Caenorhabditis elegans: one gene and its partners. The protein of the gene in region 4 purifies or fractionates together with the protein of the main gene of each other region. This does not show direct contact. Each region holds a gene or a part of one and is shown on either strand. Other genes may lie near its edges. The genes, in order: lys-2, C47B2.2, C30G7.3 and T13F3.6.

The links.
Region 1: the proteins of T13F3.6 (region 4) and lys-2 fractionate together in Caenorhabditis elegans (co-fractionation; one large-scale study listed by BioGRID). This does not show direct contact.
Region 2: the proteins of T13F3.6 (region 4) and C47B2.2 fractionate together in Caenorhabditis elegans (co-fractionation; one large-scale study listed by BioGRID). This does not show direct contact.
Region 3: the proteins of T13F3.6 (region 4) and C30G7.3 fractionate together in Caenorhabditis elegans (co-fractionation; one large-scale study listed by BioGRID). This does not show direct contact.

The regions. Positions count from the first base shown.
Region 1 is NC_003283.11:10,279,631-10,283,785, forward strand, and holds lys-2 (Lysozyme-like protein 2), read right to left. Parts: upstream 1,845-4,155; 5' UTR 1,815-1,844; coding exon 1,389-1,814; intron 1,152-1,388; coding exon 738-1,151; 3' UTR 677-737; downstream 1-676. Other genes in the region: lys-3 (Lysozyme-like protein 3), read right to left, coding at 2,585-2,935, 3,202-3,407, 3,466-3,814.
Region 2 is NC_003279.8:12,961,378-12,966,619, forward strand, and holds C47B2.2 (Phosphoribosyltransferase domain-containing protein), read right to left. Parts: upstream 3,203-5,242; 5' UTR 3,194-3,202; coding exon 3,027-3,193; intron 2,440-3,026; coding exon 2,198-2,439; intron 1,672-2,197; coding exon 1,590-1,671; intron 1,279-1,589; coding exon 1,074-1,278; 3' UTR 665-1,073; downstream 1-664. Other genes in the region: fbxa-140 (F-box domain-containing protein), read right to left, coding at 32-84; tba-2 (Tubulin alpha-2 chain), read right to left, coding at 3,437-3,569, 3,623-4,143, 4,194-4,886.
Region 3 is NC_003283.11:14,941,511-14,947,719, reverse strand, and holds C30G7.3 (MADF domain-containing protein), read left to right. Parts: upstream 1-2,015; 5' UTR 2,016-2,114; coding exon 2,115-2,135; intron 2,136-2,199; coding exon 2,200-2,266; intron 2,267-3,538; coding exon 3,539-3,636; intron 3,637-3,791; coding exon 3,792-3,911; intron 3,912-4,172; coding exon 4,173-4,324; intron 4,325-4,698; coding exon 4,699-5,017; intron 5,018-5,063; coding exon 5,064-5,147; intron 5,148-5,500; coding exon 5,501-5,545; 3' UTR 5,546-5,590; downstream 5,591-6,209. Other genes in the region: C30G7.4 (Matrix-remodeling-associated protein 7), read left to right, coding at 598-936.
Region 4 is NC_003283.11:16,269,708-16,273,737, forward strand, and holds T13F3.6 (T20D4.11-like domain-containing protein), read right to left. Parts: upstream 1,515-4,030; 5' UTR 1,503-1,514; coding exon 1,425-1,502; exon of another isoform or gene 1,370-1,424; coding exon 1,262-1,369; exon of another isoform or gene 1,215-1,261; coding exon 1,041-1,214; exon of another isoform or gene 774-1,040; coding exon 627-773; 3' UTR 593-626; downstream 1-592. Other genes in the region: T13F3.8 (uncharacterized protein), read left to right, coding at 1,933-1,939, 1,988-2,044, 2,217-2,791; pacl-1 (Polycystin-Associated Channel-Like), read right to left, coding at 3,016-3,255, 3,687-3,784.

The DNA of each region.
Region 1 (4,155 bases), 6.0 Mb from region 4:
GTGAAGTGCGGCAACTGGTGTTGTTATTTTTATGCTGCTATTCCGTTTCTAATGATTTTCTCGCAAACAAAAATTTTTTGGTAAAAAACTTTCAACTACAAACTTGTTCTTTACAACAATATCAACAACTTTTTAGTTGATGACTTTTCTGTAAAAAATTTATCTACGGAGATATGAGCTACCAAAGTGAAATTCGAAAATTGCTTCGTTAGATCGTTAAAGTTCTTCCTTACAGTGCTATTTTAAGATCTTTGAGAGCCCGCCGTGAGCTTGGTTCTGGAGTTTTGCCGCTAAAAATTCACGAGCAACCGTTTTAAGACATGCACTATCGAATGGCATTGGTCTCATATGCAAGTCCGATGGGCAGCTTCTGACGGTTCCCTAGTCAGCCGTGACTCCAGTTTATCTGAGAGGGTATAGGATAGAATATATTCAATATTACCCGCGTGGAAGGCTTGTTGAACTCAACGTAATTTGAAAAAAAGAAATCATTTGTTCAAAATAATTAAATCTGAAAATTAACATACGAAGATGTTTTTGCACTTTTTAAGTTGCATTGACACCTAACGATAATATGCATTTAATCGCTTTTTACGCATTAATATCAATGTGTTTAACTTTCGTGACTTTTAGACTTTTTCTCTCCTTCAAGAAAATTCTTCTGCCGGCAAAATGATAACAGATGATAACAATTTTATTTGGGAAGAGATCATAAAACCGATAATAAGTTTAATAAATTAGTTTCCGACAAATCCTCCGACAACAATCTTTTCACCATCTGCCATATTGACTTCAGTCTTTGGAGCAGCAGCTGGAATTCCAACAGCATACACGTCACGATTCACAACCAAATTACAAACTGTTTCAACTTGAGCATACTGCTTCACTGAAGCCTTCTTGAATGGGCCGAAAGCACGGAAATCAGCAAAAGTTGGCTTTGTCTCTCCAGAAGTACCACCTCCAAGAACATTCCAATACCAGAGCATGACATTAGAATTGATATTCGCCGAATTTCCAGTAATCTGGCTCCAGTCATATTGGTTTGTGTAAATTCCAACAGAGAGACCATATTGTTGAGCACGGGAAATTATGCTGTTGATAAAGTTGACGTTGGCAGTTGGATTGTTTGGCCAGTTGGCAGGGGAAGTAACCTGGAAAATTTGTAGTTTAGGGAAATAATTATTTAAATATTATGTTCGATTTTCTGAAAGATAAGAAATACACAAACTCGTGAATGCTTGTGAATTGAGAGGAAGTAATGATAAAATACTTTTGAGAAAATTCATAAATAGAGGAGCAACTCTCTATGAAACTGAAACTATAGTAGTACCAGCCTCAAAATGAACTTGAGGGAAATTCTAAATTTAAACTGTGTCTGAACTACTAACCTGAATCCAGACTGATCGGATAGTGATTCCATTATTGTTGAGTCCGTTATAAAGAAGATCAAGTTGTTGGTATCCTTGCCAGCTTGATATTGGCTGAGGAGTCATGTATGTCTCAATTCCCAATCCAGCTGAATAAGCATTTCTGATATTTCCAACACAATTTGAATCAAAAGCTCCATTTCCAGTTGGAACAAATCCACGGAGGAATACAACTTGATATTTTGCTTTCTTCAAACAATTCATTACTTGGACATTTGTTGGAAAGGAAAAATCGACAGCATTTCCCATTGAAGCGTCATTGTTAACAATTACTGGAGCTTCATTTGCTTCGGTATTTGCAATCGCAGCTTGGTTCGAGTCGATTTCTTGTGGTCTCGCAGAAGAGAGAACAAATAGGATAGTAAAAGAAACTAGAAGCTTGATCATTTTACTGATCTATTTCAGTGAAGATAAAAATTGTGGTTTTCCTATCAGTTTATATACAAGACGATGAGCTCTTTTCAGTGCACAAAATGACGAATCTCTCTGAAATAAGATGGGTTTCTTAGTCAGTTGAAAATGTCAACAGTGGTTTGGCTTCATTTTCTGAATTAATGAATGATAATTGATAAGAAGGCAAGAATACCAGTGCAGACTCTCTGTTGTCAATTAAAGTGATGTGATGAAAAAGAGGCCAAAGATAGAGAAAGAAACTTTCTACATGTTCCTTTACACAACATCGTCAGTGAGGATATTTCTCGAAGTTTTAGAACAAAGAGAACAACAGAGAGATGCTTTTTGAAATTCGGGTTTAAAAATGAGAAATTGTAAATAAATTTCAATGGATCCCCAAATTATACGAAATCTAGTGATCCCACCTCAAATGTTGTATTCAGAAAATTTGAAAGTGATTTCAAAAAATTAGTTTCCAGCCGCTGCAACATGGATAAGTTGGACAAATTTCAAATGTTAACTATTTGTAGGTAATTTTTGTTTTCAATATAAAGTTGCATTATGAAATTCGGTGTTTTCAGACAATTTCGAGTCTAATAAAGCAATAAAAATTTCGGCGACACCATTATTAATAACAAGTGTATTTTTGTGTGTTGATAATTTTATCGTTAAAAAGGTTATCGACAATCACATCGGAAATATTTATTTTGTATTATGCTTTCTGGTATCAAAGATTTAGTCGACAATTCTCATTCCTTGGATTCTCAAAATCCGATTCCACCAACACGAATCAATTTCTTCTCCGAACTCGAATTTTCTTGATGAGTTGAGAAGTGTACAATTTGAGACAAGTGTTGGTTTCCGGTGGAATACACATTTCGGTTTACAATCATTCCACAAAGTTTTTCAACTTGTCCAAATTGTTTCACAGTGGCCTGTCTCCATGGTCCAAATGGACGGAAATCTTCAAGAGTTGGAGTAGTTTCACCATCAGTACCCATACTCAGAACATGCCAGTACCACAAGAAAACATCAGAACTAAACGTGTTCCAGCCTCCTGTGATTTCCAACCAATCATAAAATGAAGTGTAGATTCCAACTGACAAGCCCAGATTCTGAAAGTAATAAAGTGAATAAGAAGTTGTTCTTTGTGATCATGATCCATGCTTCGAAAATTAAAACTTCTAAACAGTGTGAGTCAGAAAATGTACATTCCGCTTCAGCAAACAATATTCGTGTATGTGATCAACTTAAATATAATCGTCCTATAAACGTCTCAGGCGTGCCCCACGTTCAGAGGCGAATTTCGCGGAAATTGTTTTACTGTTGTTTTCCATGCATCAGGAGCTTCAGTTTGTCTCGCTAATGTTTGGTAACATACCTTCGCACTTCTAATCATATCTTGGATAAACTCAATTCTCACAGCCATTGGTGCAACCCAATTTGTTGGAGAAGTTACTTGAATCCAGATAGATCTAACATTAATTCCATTAGCAAGCAAATTCTGGTAGACCAGACTAATTTGGTCTGCTCCAGACCTTGTTGAGTTGATGTTTGGAGTGATGTAAACTTCACTTCCAAGTCCAGCTGAAAAAAAAACAAAATGATAATAATAGGATTATTTTGTTTATTTAGTCAATCTTACCTTCAAATGCATTGTTGATTGTATTCAAGGCATTTCGATCAAAATAAGTATTTCCAATTGGATTCAAAGCTCTGACAAATACAGATTTATAACCTTGATCTCTCAAACAATCCATGTCACTCGGAGTTGTGTGAAATGAAATGTCAACTGAATATGCATGAGTTGGGGAGTTTCGTTCATCATATGGAATTGCTGGAGCATCTTTCACTTCAGGAATATTATAATCTGGGTCAATCACTTGTTCAGAAACTTTCTGCAGCAATCCAAATGGTTCTGATACATTCGTTTGAAGAGGAGCTGGGAAAGAGTAGCACAATGTAATAGAGACTAGAAGAGCGAAAAGTTTCATTTTCCGAAATGATAATATTGAACTCAAGAAAGCATTTATACTCGTTTTGATGTCGCTGGTTGAGTAATCAAGTAATAAAGTTGTATTTTTAGTTGAATGTGGGCAGACTCAGAAAACAAGCATTGATAACAATGGGGTTGAGTCACTCAAAAAATACAGAACGTGAAATCGAAAAAGGAGCTTGTGAATGAAAATAGATGAAACAATACTCTATTAAAAAATTAGGATTTTTTCGAAGTTTGGGTAAGTATTTTAAATAGTTGCTTTGTAGTTTTCTTAGGATCCAAAAAAATTCCCTGCATTTTATTGACGAAGTTACTTACTTAGTTTTTATTACCTCT
Region 2 (5,242 bases), on a different chromosome or scaffold from region 4:
TAACATTTGCCTAACATTCAAAATTTGATACCAATCGTATGGATCCACTTTCTTCATAACTTTCTCCATAACATCAACTGGCATGCTTAAAAGCGTAAGTGGTCTTTTCTTCGATCTGAAAATAAGCAAATTTTAAACTGAATCCGATGCAAATTTCATTTTAACACTAACAATTTAATCGATCCAGTTTCTTTGTCATTTCGACAATTCCACGAGATGAGCCAGTCATTTTGACAAATTACCTGAAAAATAGGAAATTTATTTGATTGATTCAGTTTTCAATCGTTTGAAGTGAAGAAAACAATAAGAAAATACGGATAAAGTGAAATATCTTTGTAAAATACGTTACCTAACGGTAAAATAACAAATTTTCCAGTAAATTTCGTGAAAACTGAAAATTTCTTTTCTGTCTAATAAATTTTCACAAATAAAAATCACAAAAACGACAGGAAAAATGCAAAAACTATGTTTGAAATTTTGAAAATCCAAAAACAATAAACTAGGAATTCTGTGCGTCAAATGAGATGCCCGGTACGCAAGTTGCGTACTCCGAGAACTACCGTAGTTTCGGAAACTTTTTTTGAAACGGCTAATTTTAACTTATTTTATTTTCAGAATATAATGAAAAAAAAACAATTTGCATGCAAAGTAGCAAATAGAATTTGAAATAAAACGTTTATTTTCGTAAAATTTCTTAAATTTGCAGTGAAAATCCAAAAAATGAGGAAAAATCTCACTCTCAACTTTGCGCGTAAAATATAGCGCCCTGTACGCACACCATGTACTCAGAAAATGACTACCGTAGTCATTGCATCTTAAAATAATGTTTAATGAACCGAAAACAACACAAAAGAATTTAGTTATGCGGAAATTCAATGAACATTTTGTCAAAAAAAAATAGGGGAAATCAACAGTGAAAAAGTAAAAAAGAAGACTACAATAACTACAAACTACAAACCAATAACGAGAAATGAAGAGATGATCAAGTGAGAAAAGTGAATAAAAATACTGCATTTGAAACGGAAACGATGTAGTTTGTAGTGTCAAAAGGCTACAAACTACACAAAACTAGTCTAGACAGCACCAAAATAGCTGGTTGAGAAATGATTTGGATAGAGAGATGTGATATCGGAGGCGACGACAGTGATATACGGGTACTTTCTGGTTATATTCTTGAGTCCAGTCGGTGAGATGAATAGGGAAACCAAGTAGATATTCTCATCTGGGACACGTGCCTCTTTTAGGACTTCAATTGCCTTGCAAACTGTCGTCCCAGATCTGAAAAATTGGAAATTTTGATAAAAATGTGATTTTTTAAATTTAAATGTTTCTTCAGTTAAAAAAATTTCAAAAAAAGATTTTTTTTGCACAAAAAAAAACTCAATTTTTTAGACAATTTTTCGCCTTCTGGGGAAGTTTTAGTGATCGACATTTTTAAAGTTTCTACGTCAAACAAATTATTGAATTTTACGATTTTTCGCCGGGAAAATCGATTTTTTGACATTAAATTTTGTGTTTTTTTTCTCAGATTTTTCAATCAAATTTATTTCGGCCAGATATTTTTTGTAGTTTGTAGTCTCTGAGCGTACCCTATCGTTGGGTAGAGCAGTAGAACTCGACGCGACGTGATATCCGGAAGAAGCCTGGCGTAGAGCACTTTTTGTTCGTCGCCTGTAACAAAAAGTGGATGAAAATTGGAAATTTTGCGAGTTTTGAGGTTTTTCTTTTAAAAAAGTATCGCCAGTTTTCGACAAACTCAGTAAAACTCACGATTTCTACCACTTTTCTGGGTAAAAACGCAAATTTTACTATTATATATATTTTTAATATATTTTTCAGGAATTTTACCATAAGAACAGTACATATTTATTACAGATTTAAAAAAAAAAACATTTTTCGGCTGAAAAAACGAGTTTCTCTACGAATTAGAGGTATTTTTGAAGGAAAAGTCAGACTTTTCACAGATTTTGAGGGGTATTCAGGAGAAAATCTATAAAAACTGGATATTCACCAGATTTTTCCATTTTTCAAGCAGAAATCTGCATTTATAAGAGATTCCAGGTAATTTCAGGGAGAAATTGATGAAAATCGCAATGATTTTGGTGATTTTTCGCCATTTTCTTCTATATTTCTCAATTTTCTTCGCCTTTTCTAGGAAATTTCCCAAATTCCTCTCGATATCCTCAATTTCCCGTACCAATCAGAATTTTTCCAATTCGAATACACCGACAACACTGTCTCAATGAAACTTCCATCGCCTCTCCACTTCTACACAACGATACTCCACAATTTCCACGATTAAATTGAATTCCTTCATATTTGAAGCCTGTTGGTGTGGTAACTGTGTGCTCAGTGAATGGAAGATGATTGAGACATTCTTCAATTACAAGCCGCATCAGACGATCCGCGTTGAATACGAAATCCGAGTGATTTGTTGATCTGGAAATTGGAAGATGGTTGAGGCTATGGGGCTACAAACTACAAACTACAAGATTCTCTGAGCCTCAACCAATTTTTACAAGGAAAACTTCTAAAATTGCGAGGAAATCACGAAAAATACCGTTTCGGACCCGGAAATTTATGAAAATATCGGAATTTTGACTCAAAATCCGAGAAAATCCTTGAAAAATTCATTTATATAAATAAATATATTCATGTTTTCTAACAAAAAAAAACGTTTTTTAATCAAAATTTCAGTTAATTTCACGGCAAAAAGGCCAAAAAATGAAAACGTTTTCTATTTTTCTCCTAATTTACTGGCAAAATCGCTTAAAATGCCGTTTCTGACCCGAAAATTTGTGAATTAACGGATTTTTAAAATCTAAATTCCAAGAAAATCGCTTTTTAAGGCAAAAAAGGAGTTTATTTAAAATCAACAAGTTTTTCCGGCAAAAATACCGAAAATCGTTAATTTTTCCGCAAAATCTGGAAAAAGAGCTTGGAAATATGAGTTTTCAGCCCCTTTCTTTAAATTTTCACCCATAAAATGTTTGAGGCTTCAGTCTATTCCCAGTCAAACTTCATACCTATCTTTCAAAATTGTCTGCAATTCAAGTATCTGTGGAGTCTTCTTCAAAAGAACAAAATTTGTTCCCTTCTCTTTCAGATTTGCCACCAACTGCCCGACACCGTCTTCCTCATCACCAACCTTTGGAATCACTGGAGCACATGTTCCATTCACATGCCCAGCCATTTCTGTAATCTAATACTGATCGATGAGCAGAACAAGCGTCTGCTGCTCAAATACTGTCGGCTTGTACATGTTTGCTCTGCGGCACTCAACTCGGTATAAACGTAAAGTGTTCCGACTTTCATTCTTTCTCTTTTTAACAAAAAACATTATATAAATAAAATACTTCATAATACATTGTTTATGACGATCGAACTGCAGTAATAAATTAAAAGTCAATCGCCAGGCAGTTGATTGTGGGAGCATCTAGTACTCCTCTCCCTCCTCTTCTCCTCCCTCGTTGGAGTCAGCTCCGACCTCTTCGTAGTCCTTCTCGAGAGCAGCCAAGTCCTCACGAGCCTCGGTGAACTCTCCTTCCTCCATACCTTCTCCGACGTACCTGAAAAGAAACACATTGAATATTTGAAAAGTATAGTTTAACGGGCAACATACCAGTGGACGAAGGCACGCTTGGCGTACATCAAGTCGAACTTGTAGTCGAGACGAGACCAGGCCTCAGCGATGGCGGTAGTGTTGGAGAGCATGCAGACGGCGCGTGGCACCTTGGCAAGATCACCTCCTGGCACAACAGTTGGTGGCTGGTAGTTGATTCCGACCTTGAATCCGGTTGGGCACCAATCGACGAATTGGATGGTTCTCTTGGTCTTGATTGCAGCGATGGCGGTGTTAACGTCCTTTGGAACGACGTCTCCTCTGTACAAGAGGCACACAGCCATGTACTTTCCGTGACGTGGATCACACTTGACCATCTGGTTAGCCGGCTCGAAGCAGCTATTGGTGATGTCGCTGACGGACAGAGCCTCGTGGTAGGCCTTCTCAGCAGAGATGAGTGGAGTGTAGGCGGCCAATGGGAAGTGAATTCTTGGGTATGGCACCAAGTTGGTCTGGAACTCGTTGAGATCAACGTTGAGGGCTCCATCGAATCTCAAGGAAGCAGTGATTGAGGAGACAACCTGTAAAAAGAGAACATTAGAATACAACAATCAAATTGAGCTCAACAAACCTGGGAGATGATTCTGTTGAGGTTGGTGTAGCTTGGTCGCTCAACATCCAAGTTTCTGCGGCAGATGTCGTAGATGGCCTCGTTATCGACCATGAAGGCGCAGTCGGAGTGCTCCAAGGTGGTATGGGTGGTGAGGATCGAGTTGTATGGCTCAACGACGGCGGTTGAGACCTGTGGAGCTGGGTAGATGGAGAACTCGAGCTTGGACTTCTTTCCGTAGTCGACGGAAAGACGTTCCATAAGAAGCGAAGTGAATCCGGATCCGGTACCTCCTCCGAAGGAGTGGAAGACGAAGAATCCTTGGAGTCCACTGCAGTTATCAGCGAGACGACGGATCCTGTCGAGGACGGTGTCGATGAGCTCCTTTCCGACGGTGTAGTGTCCACGAGCGTAGTTGTTAGCGGCGTCTTCCTTTCCGGTGATCATCTGCTCTGGATGGAAGAGCTTCTTGTAGGTTCCAGTGCGAATCTCGTCAACGACAGTTGGCTCGAGATCGACGAAGATGGATCTTGGAACGTAACGGCCGGATCCGGTGTCTGAGAAGAAAGTGGTGAACGACTCTCCCTCGTTCGTTGATTGAGTTGGCATGGTTCCATCGGGCTGGATTCCGTGCTCGAGGCAGTAGAGCTCCCAGCAGGCGTTTCCGATTTGGACTCCGGCTTGTCCGACGTGGATAGAGATGACCTCACGCATTTTCTTTTCTGAAAAAGAAAATTATAAAGTTTTAAAAGAGAAAGACAATTGTTATATGAGAACGAAACGATTGCGGTGAGAGCAGAGACGAAAGTGAGCCCAAATAGGGCCGAGAACGCACGAGCGCGCGCGCTCTCTCAACATAGCCCAACATCGGACACCGCGGTGGACAAGTCATCGATTGCAAAAAAATGATGACGAAATAGCGGGGCGCCAGTGGAGAGCGGATTGAAATGAGTGCAAAGGAGTGGACTGCAAGGGAGCCAAAACCCCGTTGTAAGAGACCCAGAGAATAACAATGGGAATTTCGCAATTCCCAATGGGATTACTTTGAGTCATTTTGAAACATACGTGCT
Region 3 (6,209 bases), 1.3 Mb from region 4:
TCAAAATTTGCCGAGCTCAGCAAAATCGGCAAATTTGCCGTGCTTAACAAACTCCAAAAATTTGATATTTTTTGATGTTCCTTGGAGCAACAAAACTACTGAATTCTGTAATTTCGAAATTTGCCGAGCTCGGCAAATTTGCCGCACAACCCTGATGCATGCAGCATTCTTTTCTTTTTTTTCACATTCTCAGTAACGTTCCCCACATCACAATGAAGCAATGCACCTACGAAACAATTAAAGAATTTTTTCACTTGCAGGTAGCCCTCAAAAGTACGAAAAAAAAATTGAAACCAATGTTTTTCTCGCCAAATAATTTGTTTCATCGGGAAAATAATAACGAAAAAGTTTCACAATTAAATATTATTAGTCACATTTCCAAAATAAATCATCATCAATTGTTTGCGATAACAAAAAAAACTTCGGAATTCTTAACACCTAGAAGCAGCCGTCTGAAAAGTACAAAAGCTATTATATTTATGACAAAAATGACATTTAAAATTGATTCTATATTTTCAGAAGCTGTAAGTTTTTTCCAATTCAAAAACATATAGGATACAAATGATTTCTACTTCAAAGAATTCCAGAACTTCAAACATGGCAGTTTTTGATTTCATCATTGGTTTCGGCTTCATGTTAATTGCTCTTTTTCTCATTTTCCTATACCTCAACAAGGATGGGCACATTTCAATAGCTATCAAAAAAATATTAACGAATTCAAGACAAAAGGCAAAAGATTTGAAGGATGGTTCAACATCCGACCCATCAAAAACGACACCAGCCGCACCTGCATGCTCTCCAGTATCAAATGAGGAAATAACAATACCCTCAGATGTTCAATCGGTGAATAATACTTTATCAGAAATTTCATTGTCAGAAGCTGAAGTTCAAGTTGATGAAGAGAATCCAAATATTGTGAAAATCCATGTAATTTGATGACTGTTCGCATTTCTAGTCATCATTTTGAAATTTAATAAACCAATGCGACATCGTAGTTTACTTCACCGTTGTCAATTTTTGTAGATGTACTGAAAATGTGTTTGAAATTTGTCCAATTGCAAAAATAATAATTAAAAGCTGACAATAATCATCTATTGTTCACAATGACGAAGAAATTCTAAATGCTTCTTACATAGAAGCCGACTGATAAATATAGAACTATAATATTTATGACATGATAGCATCCAAAATTGTTTCTATATTATAAAAAGCTGTAAGTTTTTTGTTCAATTTGATGGGATGGCAGCAAAAAAGTTACAATTCGACGTTAAACCATCACAACCCAGATTGACCTCGCAATGAAATATTTGACCAACTGTAGATTAAAAAACATATACCGTATTATTTCTATTAGTCTTGCACCAACAATGCTTAATTCCGAGATTTTTAGAAGATAATTTAAGTTATTTTCGTAGCATTAAGCCATATTGGTTATCATGATATCTGACTCAAATTTGGTGTCTTGGCTCTATTCTCGTGCAAACACCAAAGTCGCGTTAAAATATTTCATTAACCTAGGGAACTGCCACAAAAGTTGCACACTTTATTATCCACGACAATTGATTTCTTGGCTTTTGTGAATAAAAAATAATGTTTTTCGTAAATGAAAAATTTCAAATGATGGATTTTCCGGAAATTAATAAAAAATTATCAATTTTTCAAAAATTAAAATTTCATATTATCGACTTTTCAAAAAAAAAAAATTAAAACTTCACATTATCGATTTGTCAAAAATTGAAAATGGCAGATTACCGATCATTCAAAATTTATCGATTTTTACAGGAAGATGGAAAGTATGTAACTCTGAAATCTAATGTCGTGGAAAATGGTTTCTACTCGGGAGTCTTATAGATTTTTTCTCATTAATTTATTGATTTTTGTATTGTCATGATCTCAATTTGAAAAAAAGAAAGAAAATGTAATAATTATCGATATATTTTTTTAAATAAAACTGTTTTTGAAATTAAATCTTCACGTGGCCTTTTCGAATTTTGTTATTCTCAACAATAATCGATAATCCGTGAGATTGATAAAATCGATAAATTTCAATTATTTCTCACTTTTATACTCGTCAATACCACATTTATTACTCGCCGCTTATTCACATTACTCCAATGAACTGCAGACAATCAAAGGTGAGGTGCACGAGAAATGCGCCAGCATTTGCTTGCGCAATTCACGATACCGTATATTTTTCAGAAAAATTCTCACATCTGGGACAACGTCTGTACCGCCGGCACTCGTCGTAATCCGTATTACGTCTGCTGTGAGTTTGAGAGTCGGGAAAAACTGATAGTTTTTGTTGTTTCTGTTCAAAAATCGATAATTTCTCAAAAATAAATATTTTGAAAATTTAGAAAATATCGATTTTTCCGTAAAATCTATATTTTACACAAAAATTTTCACCTACGTGTAATTATCGATTTTTGTTCCAGAAAAGAGTTAAAATTAAAATTTTCGAATTATTGATTTTTTTGTTGGTAAAAATAGCATACAGGGTGGGCCAAAAGTATGGTAACACATGAAGCGCTCTTTTACATGAGCTTTTCGCGCGACTGCCACGTCATACGTACATTCTTCTATCGAATACTGATAGCTGAATAAATTTCCTTCAATTTGACTCAAAATTTGTAATGTTTCCCAATAAGGTGCGATCTTTATCACCTCGACAATTTGGCGAACCCTTTCGAAAAAACGGTAATTTGGCACGCGGCACTTCCCACACAAACACACCTCCCACGCACGCCAATAATTTTCAGATGTATGATTTTTATGTTAAATTGAAAGTTAAAGAAGTGAAGAAGCGTTTTTAATTGTTTTTGTAGCATATAAAAATGTTCTGTGTCGACACTGGCGCCTAGCAAGAACCTTTGTATATTTCATGAATTCAACTTTGCGAAATTTACTCAGTTTTTTTGGTTTCGCAAGGCGTAACGACCCACAAAATCATCCGAGCTCAATTTTCTAAAAAAATTCTGGAAAGTCAGGTCAAAACGTCTCGAAAAATACTAAAATAAATTTATCTGAATACTGCTACTCGCCGCTCACATCCATCTTTCTGGCGACTATGCCATTCAAGACTTAACCTACTGCCGCAGTCCATGACAGAAATACCGTGATAGAAAATATTTTGATTTTTGTTTTTAAAGAATCTCTAGACCAAGGGCATTCTTTGAACTATAAAAACTTGTAAGACACTTTATGGATTCCTCAAGAAAAATGTAGAAATCCCGCAGAATGCCGACTTGCGTGCCATAAAGATCGTGATCTCAAAAGTTCTGAAGGCCTGCAGCAATGCGGATGGATATATTTTGAAAATTCAAAACGTTCATCTGGTCAGTATTTTATGGAGAACAAAACTTGTACAAATTGATGTAATAACTCTCTCCACTAGTAAAGTTATAGAGCTGCAAACGTGTTACCATACTTTTGGCCCACCCTGTAATTCCTAAAAATCAATACTTCGAAAATATTTTTGATTTTAAGTAAAAAGCGATATTTTTTCACGTTCTTTTTTTTGATTATCGATTTTATGCAGACGGCACCACCGGCTCCACCACCTCATCACTGTCAATTTTGGAATTTTCACGTGAACAAATCACCGTAGTGTCGCCACGTGTCAAATGTCCCCTCAAGGTGAGAATATTGGAAAAAAATCATTTCAAAATTTGATCGCTGTACAAAATGCCATTTTTAACAACTATCTATCGTCAGATTCCGACCGGAAATGTATTGATTTTTTGATTTTTTGGACTAAAAATCAATAAATCAATATATATTTTTATTTTCAGCAAAAAATTGTGGAAAAACCGAAGAAAAGGAATGTATATGTCACGAACTGGGATCGTGCAGCGGCGGAGCAACCAAAGGCACTTGCCACGTGGATTTATCAGCCATTTGATAAGAGAAAGGTGGGTCGAGAATTGCGCCAAGGCTCTATCATTTTGTTGGCTTGTTGGACATCCTATCAGAAAGACATACCTGAAATTTCAGTTCGATAAGACTATTTTGAGCAGTGTTACCAGGCCTTGAAGTTTCTTATAAGATTAATCGACCGCGTCGCAGGTTGTTTGCTTTGACTAGTTGTAACTTTGCTCCCAGTGGATTGATTTGAAATTTTTTGTGTGGCTAGCTGTGTATTATTACGTACATTCAATTCAAAAAATTTTCAGTACAACAACCGCACGGCATCCGACGCCTTCGACGCCTACCAACACCGCCTGAAACTGAAAAAACTGCCCGAGACAAAGCAAAAAGTCACAAAAACCACCAAAAGACATGTGACTATCAATGAAGCGGCGACTCAAGTCATTCAGGATGTGTGGTGAGTTTGCACTAGAAACGCGCCAAGGCACGAGTTTTGCGTTAAGGCGTTAACAGTAGTATACATACATACATCAGAAATCAATACAGAGAAATCAATACACAGCTCTACGAGCATTTTGAACAATTTTGAACAGTTACGTAGATTTTGAACAGTTACGTAGATTTGAAGTATTGAGAAAAACCGCGACGCAGACTAAAGTTTTGAACCACTGTAACTTTGCTCGCACTGTTCGAAGACTTTCAAAATTTTTTGTGAACGCTCCCAATGTAATTGTTAATATGATGACGTCATCATTGCTCCTTGGCGTATTTTTCGTGCCATGACGCAATTCTTGATCATTAAATTTGAAGCCCTAATTTTCCTAGTTTCAGCCACCTCCAACCGAAATCCTACCAAAAAATTCGCATATCAAATTGTCGAAATGATGAGGTGAAAATCGATAGTTTCTCTGCTAACCGAGTTCCAAAAGACGATGATATTGACGACCTGAACGTGAATGTTCCAGTTGAAGATGATGATGACGTGGAACTCGATGACGTCATCCTTGCTCAAAATCCGGCGTTTTACGGCACAATTGAAGCGGAAAAGTGTGCAGAACGAGTTGCCGCACATCTATCGATGGCCTGTGAAAACATGGAACGTTTGCAATTTGTGACGGAAGCCGTGTATCCACAGAGCGCCGCTCATTTGGTGAGTGATTGCCTAATATGGAAAATAAATATTGATTTTTTTGCAGAAGAAGCTTCAAGAAATCGATGATGACGTCAAGGATTTCAATTGTCAGATGAGACAGCGTCGTGTCAAAGCTTCGAATCCAGGAGTACGTACTTTTAAGTTTCTGTGTGAAATTTCATGGCTGGACCGCGACGCGACACGAAACTCATGAAATTTTTGAAACTTTAGCGTTTTAATTCAGAACATCAAATTAGATGAAAAAAATGAACCACAGAAAATTTCAGAGCTGTAGCCACATTTTGAGCAAAGTTAAGGTGGTTTGAAAGTCCTAGCGACACACGACGCATGTCAAAACTTGCAGTTACCCTAACTTTGCTCTTAGTAGACACAGAGCTCTGAAATTTTTTGAGCGTGCTCCCCATGCAATAGAAAACTTGTTTGCGCAATTTTGGTGCCTTGCAAACACCATAACCGTGTAAAAATATTTTATTATTCCAGGGAACAGTCACAAAAGTTGCACACTTCATTATCCACGGCAATTGATTTTCCTCGATTTTTGCGAATAAAGAATTTATTGATTGGATTTCCAATTTTTTAAACCTTTTTTGTAGTCACCTAACAACCCGGATTTTCAAGTAGATTTTTAACAATTTTCAGGAAAGCGAATAACTGGAAATAATGCCTAAGTGCCTAAGACTAAGCCTAAAAATGAGCCTAAGGCTAAACCAAAAAAAATCCTAAGCCTAAGCCCTGTGACATAAGCCGGCAAAGTGAAGCAAAACGGCTTGTTTTTTGCGCTGTTATGAGCTTCATTCTTATTTGTTAGACCTTGTGTGTCCCCAAGCCAAGCTATTTCGTCGACATGATGATAAAAATTGGTTTTTGATTTAAACGAATTTTTTGACGCCATACTTATTTATTCGAGAAAAAATAAGCATATATAAAATAGGAAATTCAACAGAGAGTCAAACAAATTAAACGCTTTTTCAAACTGAACTTTCAGGAAAAATAGCAATACGTTTTATCTGAAAAGGGTTGTTTGCTATTATATTGTTTTGTTGCAGAGAACTTATTAATAATATTTATTTTTAAAAAAACCATGTTTTTAAAATTGAAACCAGATACCAAAATAAAAAAAAAGAGAAATATAAGCATAATGAAAAGTTAGGAGAATTTCAGCAGTTTCTAGAAGGATTTGTGGAAGTCC
Region 4 (4,030 bases):
GAGACTTAGACGCGTCAAGTTTGTTGGCAGAGAACGAGTACTCCAAGTGAAAAACTGTTTGTCTGTTTGTTTTCTCTCTCTCTCTCTCTTATTTTTTTGTCTTGTAGATTTCGAATCAGTAGTAAGTCTATTTAATGTCTAAAGAGTCATAGGTTGAGTTATCAATACTTATATATTTAAAAATACAGTGCATAGTTTGTAGTCTATGTAGTCTTTGTAGTCTGCGTTGTTTTGGCTTATGAAGGGATATTGATTTTTAATCTCCAATAAAAATTCGGCCATTTTTATGCCTGAAAGCCAGTTTTTTTGATTGAACTGGAAGCTTCCGGCACCTAGAAAATTTTTGTAGTTAGAATCTCAAAGCGCTTAAAAAATTTGAAAAAAATCTTGAAAGTCCTAGAATTTCTTGAAAGTCCGCAAAACTCCAGGAAAATGTATGACTGTACAAAAATGTTACATTAGCACTTTAAAATTTATTAAAACAATTTAGCGTACGCCAGTCGGAGCACGCGCCTTGCGCGTGCGAACGGCTGGTATATCAATAAAAAAAACGAATAAATAATAAAGCGCAAAATGCGCGGAAAACTTATTTGAAATCTAAAATAGTTTTATTCAACATTTTACTATTAGTCACAAAATTCTGGTCTTAAATTAGCGGTTTGTTTTACATATTGTTCCTGAATTTTTCCTGATTGGTCATCACACAAATTTGCGATATTTTCCTTAATGCATGGTTGAAGACTGTCCCATTGATCGCACTCATCTACTTCTGGCTGAAAATTTCAATTTTGTGAGAACAATCGAATATTTGAAATTAAAAAGTATGAGCTTTCATGGTAGACAGGCGCGGTTACAGGCCCAAAAACCTGCCGGCTTCACACCTCAATTCTGCATTCTTGCTTGAAACAAAAGTTCGCGCTCGACACTTTTTGAGCTCCGCGCAGCACTATAGGACGCGGATTGCGGTGTGAGGCAGGCGAAGGAAGGCGAGGCAGGCGCTGCAGGCGTCTCGGAGCCTGCATGATTACAGTTTTGCATACCTCGTGAACATCATTGAAAAGTGTGTTGAGGCATGAAATATTGTCATCTTTCTTCGCGATCAGCTTTTTGGCGCAATTTGAGAAGTCGCGATTGTAGAAAATATAGAATAGGCAAGGGCTCACTTTGGTTGAGAACTTGTCTAGTAGGGAAGCGTCCACCGATTTTACACAATTCTGAAATTTTGCCATTGTTCCGTTCTTAATTTTTGAAAAAATATTACTATAATTTCTTCACATTTATCTGCGTAAGCTTTGTATGTCTCCGGTGGCCAGAAAAATCGGTCTGTAACATTTATCGACTTGATGATTGGCTCCAAGCCTAGACCAATCTAAAAATTTAATGAATTTACAAAAAATCTCACTATTAGTATTAGGCATACTTACAGTTTTACAATCATCCATTGTAGCTGCTGTCGCAAAAATTGGAAGACCAATTACCAAGATAAAACCAAAAGAAATCATGGTTTATTTTTCATTTTACAAATGGTGGAGACCCATTTTATACTGCTATCATCTACTGATCAACACAATTTTTTGAAACTAGATTTTGTGTAATGTCTGATAAGTGTTCGCAGTTCGATTGAAGATTGAAAGTTAAAGTTTGATAGTTGATCGAAATCGTATCAAACAGTGTCCCAATAAAGCAATTTCTTCAAAATTTATCTCTCTCACAATCAATAAAATTTAAACTTTAAAATTAAAATGTTTTTTTCACGGAAACTTTTAAATATCAATTTTCAAATATTAAATATTAGTGTTAACGTGAAGAAATAGGGCAGTGGAACATAGGGGCAGCCGACGAAATTAGTTTTACAAAAATAAATCAATACTGGATTTGTACAGCAAGATTCTGTTGGACCGGAATTCAAATCCCCGATTGCCAATTATTGAAATGATCAGTGAGTTGGAAATTTTTCGCAAAATTTCAATCAATAATTCGGTTTCAGATTTAATCTGGTTTCCACAGCTTCTACAATTGATCATATGGATGTCTGTATTGACTGGTGAGTTGCTTTTGTGCAGCCTACAAAGTGCGGGTTTTTTAAGCAAATCCTTTTGAAATTGAAGTGAAAATGCGCTCCATCGCCAAATAGGGAGCTTCATATTATGGGTCCCGTTAAGTCCGAAAAAGTTGAACGATTCAATTATTTTCGCCAATTGAAAAAACATTTTCAGCATCTCTCCATTTGTGTAAGAAGAAGGGCAAAGCCAAGCCAAAGGCAAAAGTCCGTGAGATGTCAACAGTGAAGATGACGACAACGACTGGTCTCACCACGAACAATGTGAACATTGGAAATCCAGCGCCTGAGGAGAAGAAAAAAGAGGAAAAGGTGGAGAAGAAACCGGAGGAAAACAAGGAAGCAGAGAAGAAGGATGAGCCGAAGAAGGAAGAGGAAAAGAAGGAAGAGGAGAAGAAAAAAGAGGAGAAGAAGGAAGAGGAGAAGAAGGAGGAAGTGAAGGAGGAGGAGAAGAAAGATGATTCAAAACGAGATGAGAAAAAGAAGGATGGAGAAAAGAAGGAAGATGATGAAAACAAAGAGGATAATGAAAAGAAAAAAGAAGAGAAGAAGGAGGACGAGAAGCCCAAGAAGGAGGAAATCGTGCCACAAGAGCAAAAGTACACGGACAAAGAGCAAGCAATCGCTGATGGAGTCAAGAAGAAGAGGACGGACTATCCGACTATGGAGGATGTGGCGAGTGATTGGGACGATAGCAAGAAGAAGAAGAAGAAGGATGATGATAAGGAGTAATGGGAAGATCTGGATTATCTGTGAACTCTTTTTTTGCAATGTATGTGGTATTTTGAAAAAGTAAAGATTGATGAAAATTTGGGGTGGGCTTCTCCACCCATCGAAGTATACATTAATTGCGGACTTTATGCAATTTTGAGCAGAATTTCAACTATGTACAGTCCAAGATAAATATATTAACAAATAGCTTCATTAGCTGAATTCCAGATCACATCACAAAAAAGTTATTCCGCCTTCTCTCCCATTGGCTGGTTGTTCTTGAAAAGCTCATTTTTCGATCTGTACTGTACTTGCATATCCTTGTCCACTTGATCCGCTTGATCAATGTCCGAGATAAGGGGAATCGCGAATTCGGAAATTCTCCACGTCTTGATGAATTGGATGAGGGCGAAGATGACGTAGGCGGTGGCGGTGTGAATTACAAAGCAGAAGGCTGTCAGGGTGTGCGCGTCTGTTATCAATTTCTGGAAACAAAATAGATAGGCAAGCATGATGATAGGTAAGCAGGTAGGCTCAAAACAATCAATGGACAGGTATAATGTGGCATGGGTATGCACAATTGTAGGTAGGCAGGCAGGCATGGTAGGTAGGCAGGCATGTGCGTACGTGAGCATTTAAAGGTTCGAAAGTCGGTAGAATGTTATGATGTTGATACACAGGTAGGCAGGTAGACATAACGCAAGCACGTAGTTAGACAGTTGTAAAGCAGGGGTACGCACTCGTACAGGTAGGCTGTGTTTGAAAATACTATTTGTTACCTGCCTGCACTTGCCTATCTATCTAGATGGACACCATGCCTACTTACAAGGTCGCATCAGGTTTTGATGCCTACGCCCTCTGCCTGCCTCATTCTCACCCTAAAAAACCAAATACAAATCTTGCTCTATAATCGTACCAATTGAACACTTGGTGGTACGGTTGCAATCAAATTCAGTGTGATCTTGATTCCATCGGTAAACGAGACGTCTTGCCAGCGTGAGGCGGAGATGGTAGCTGAAAATCATTACTATATATAAAGCGCTATTCCGTATGTCTCTGACGTCACAAATGACGTCACAACATTCAGCGCTGGAAATTATTTTAGAAAATTTTGAGGCTACTTATGATGAATACGCACCCGACATCGATCGAGGTACGCGATAAACCACTCAACACTTTTCAAAAACATCTTGATGGGAATTCAAATTTTAATTTTTGAAAACATTTTGGCGGGAATTCAAATTTCAATTTTTGAAAACA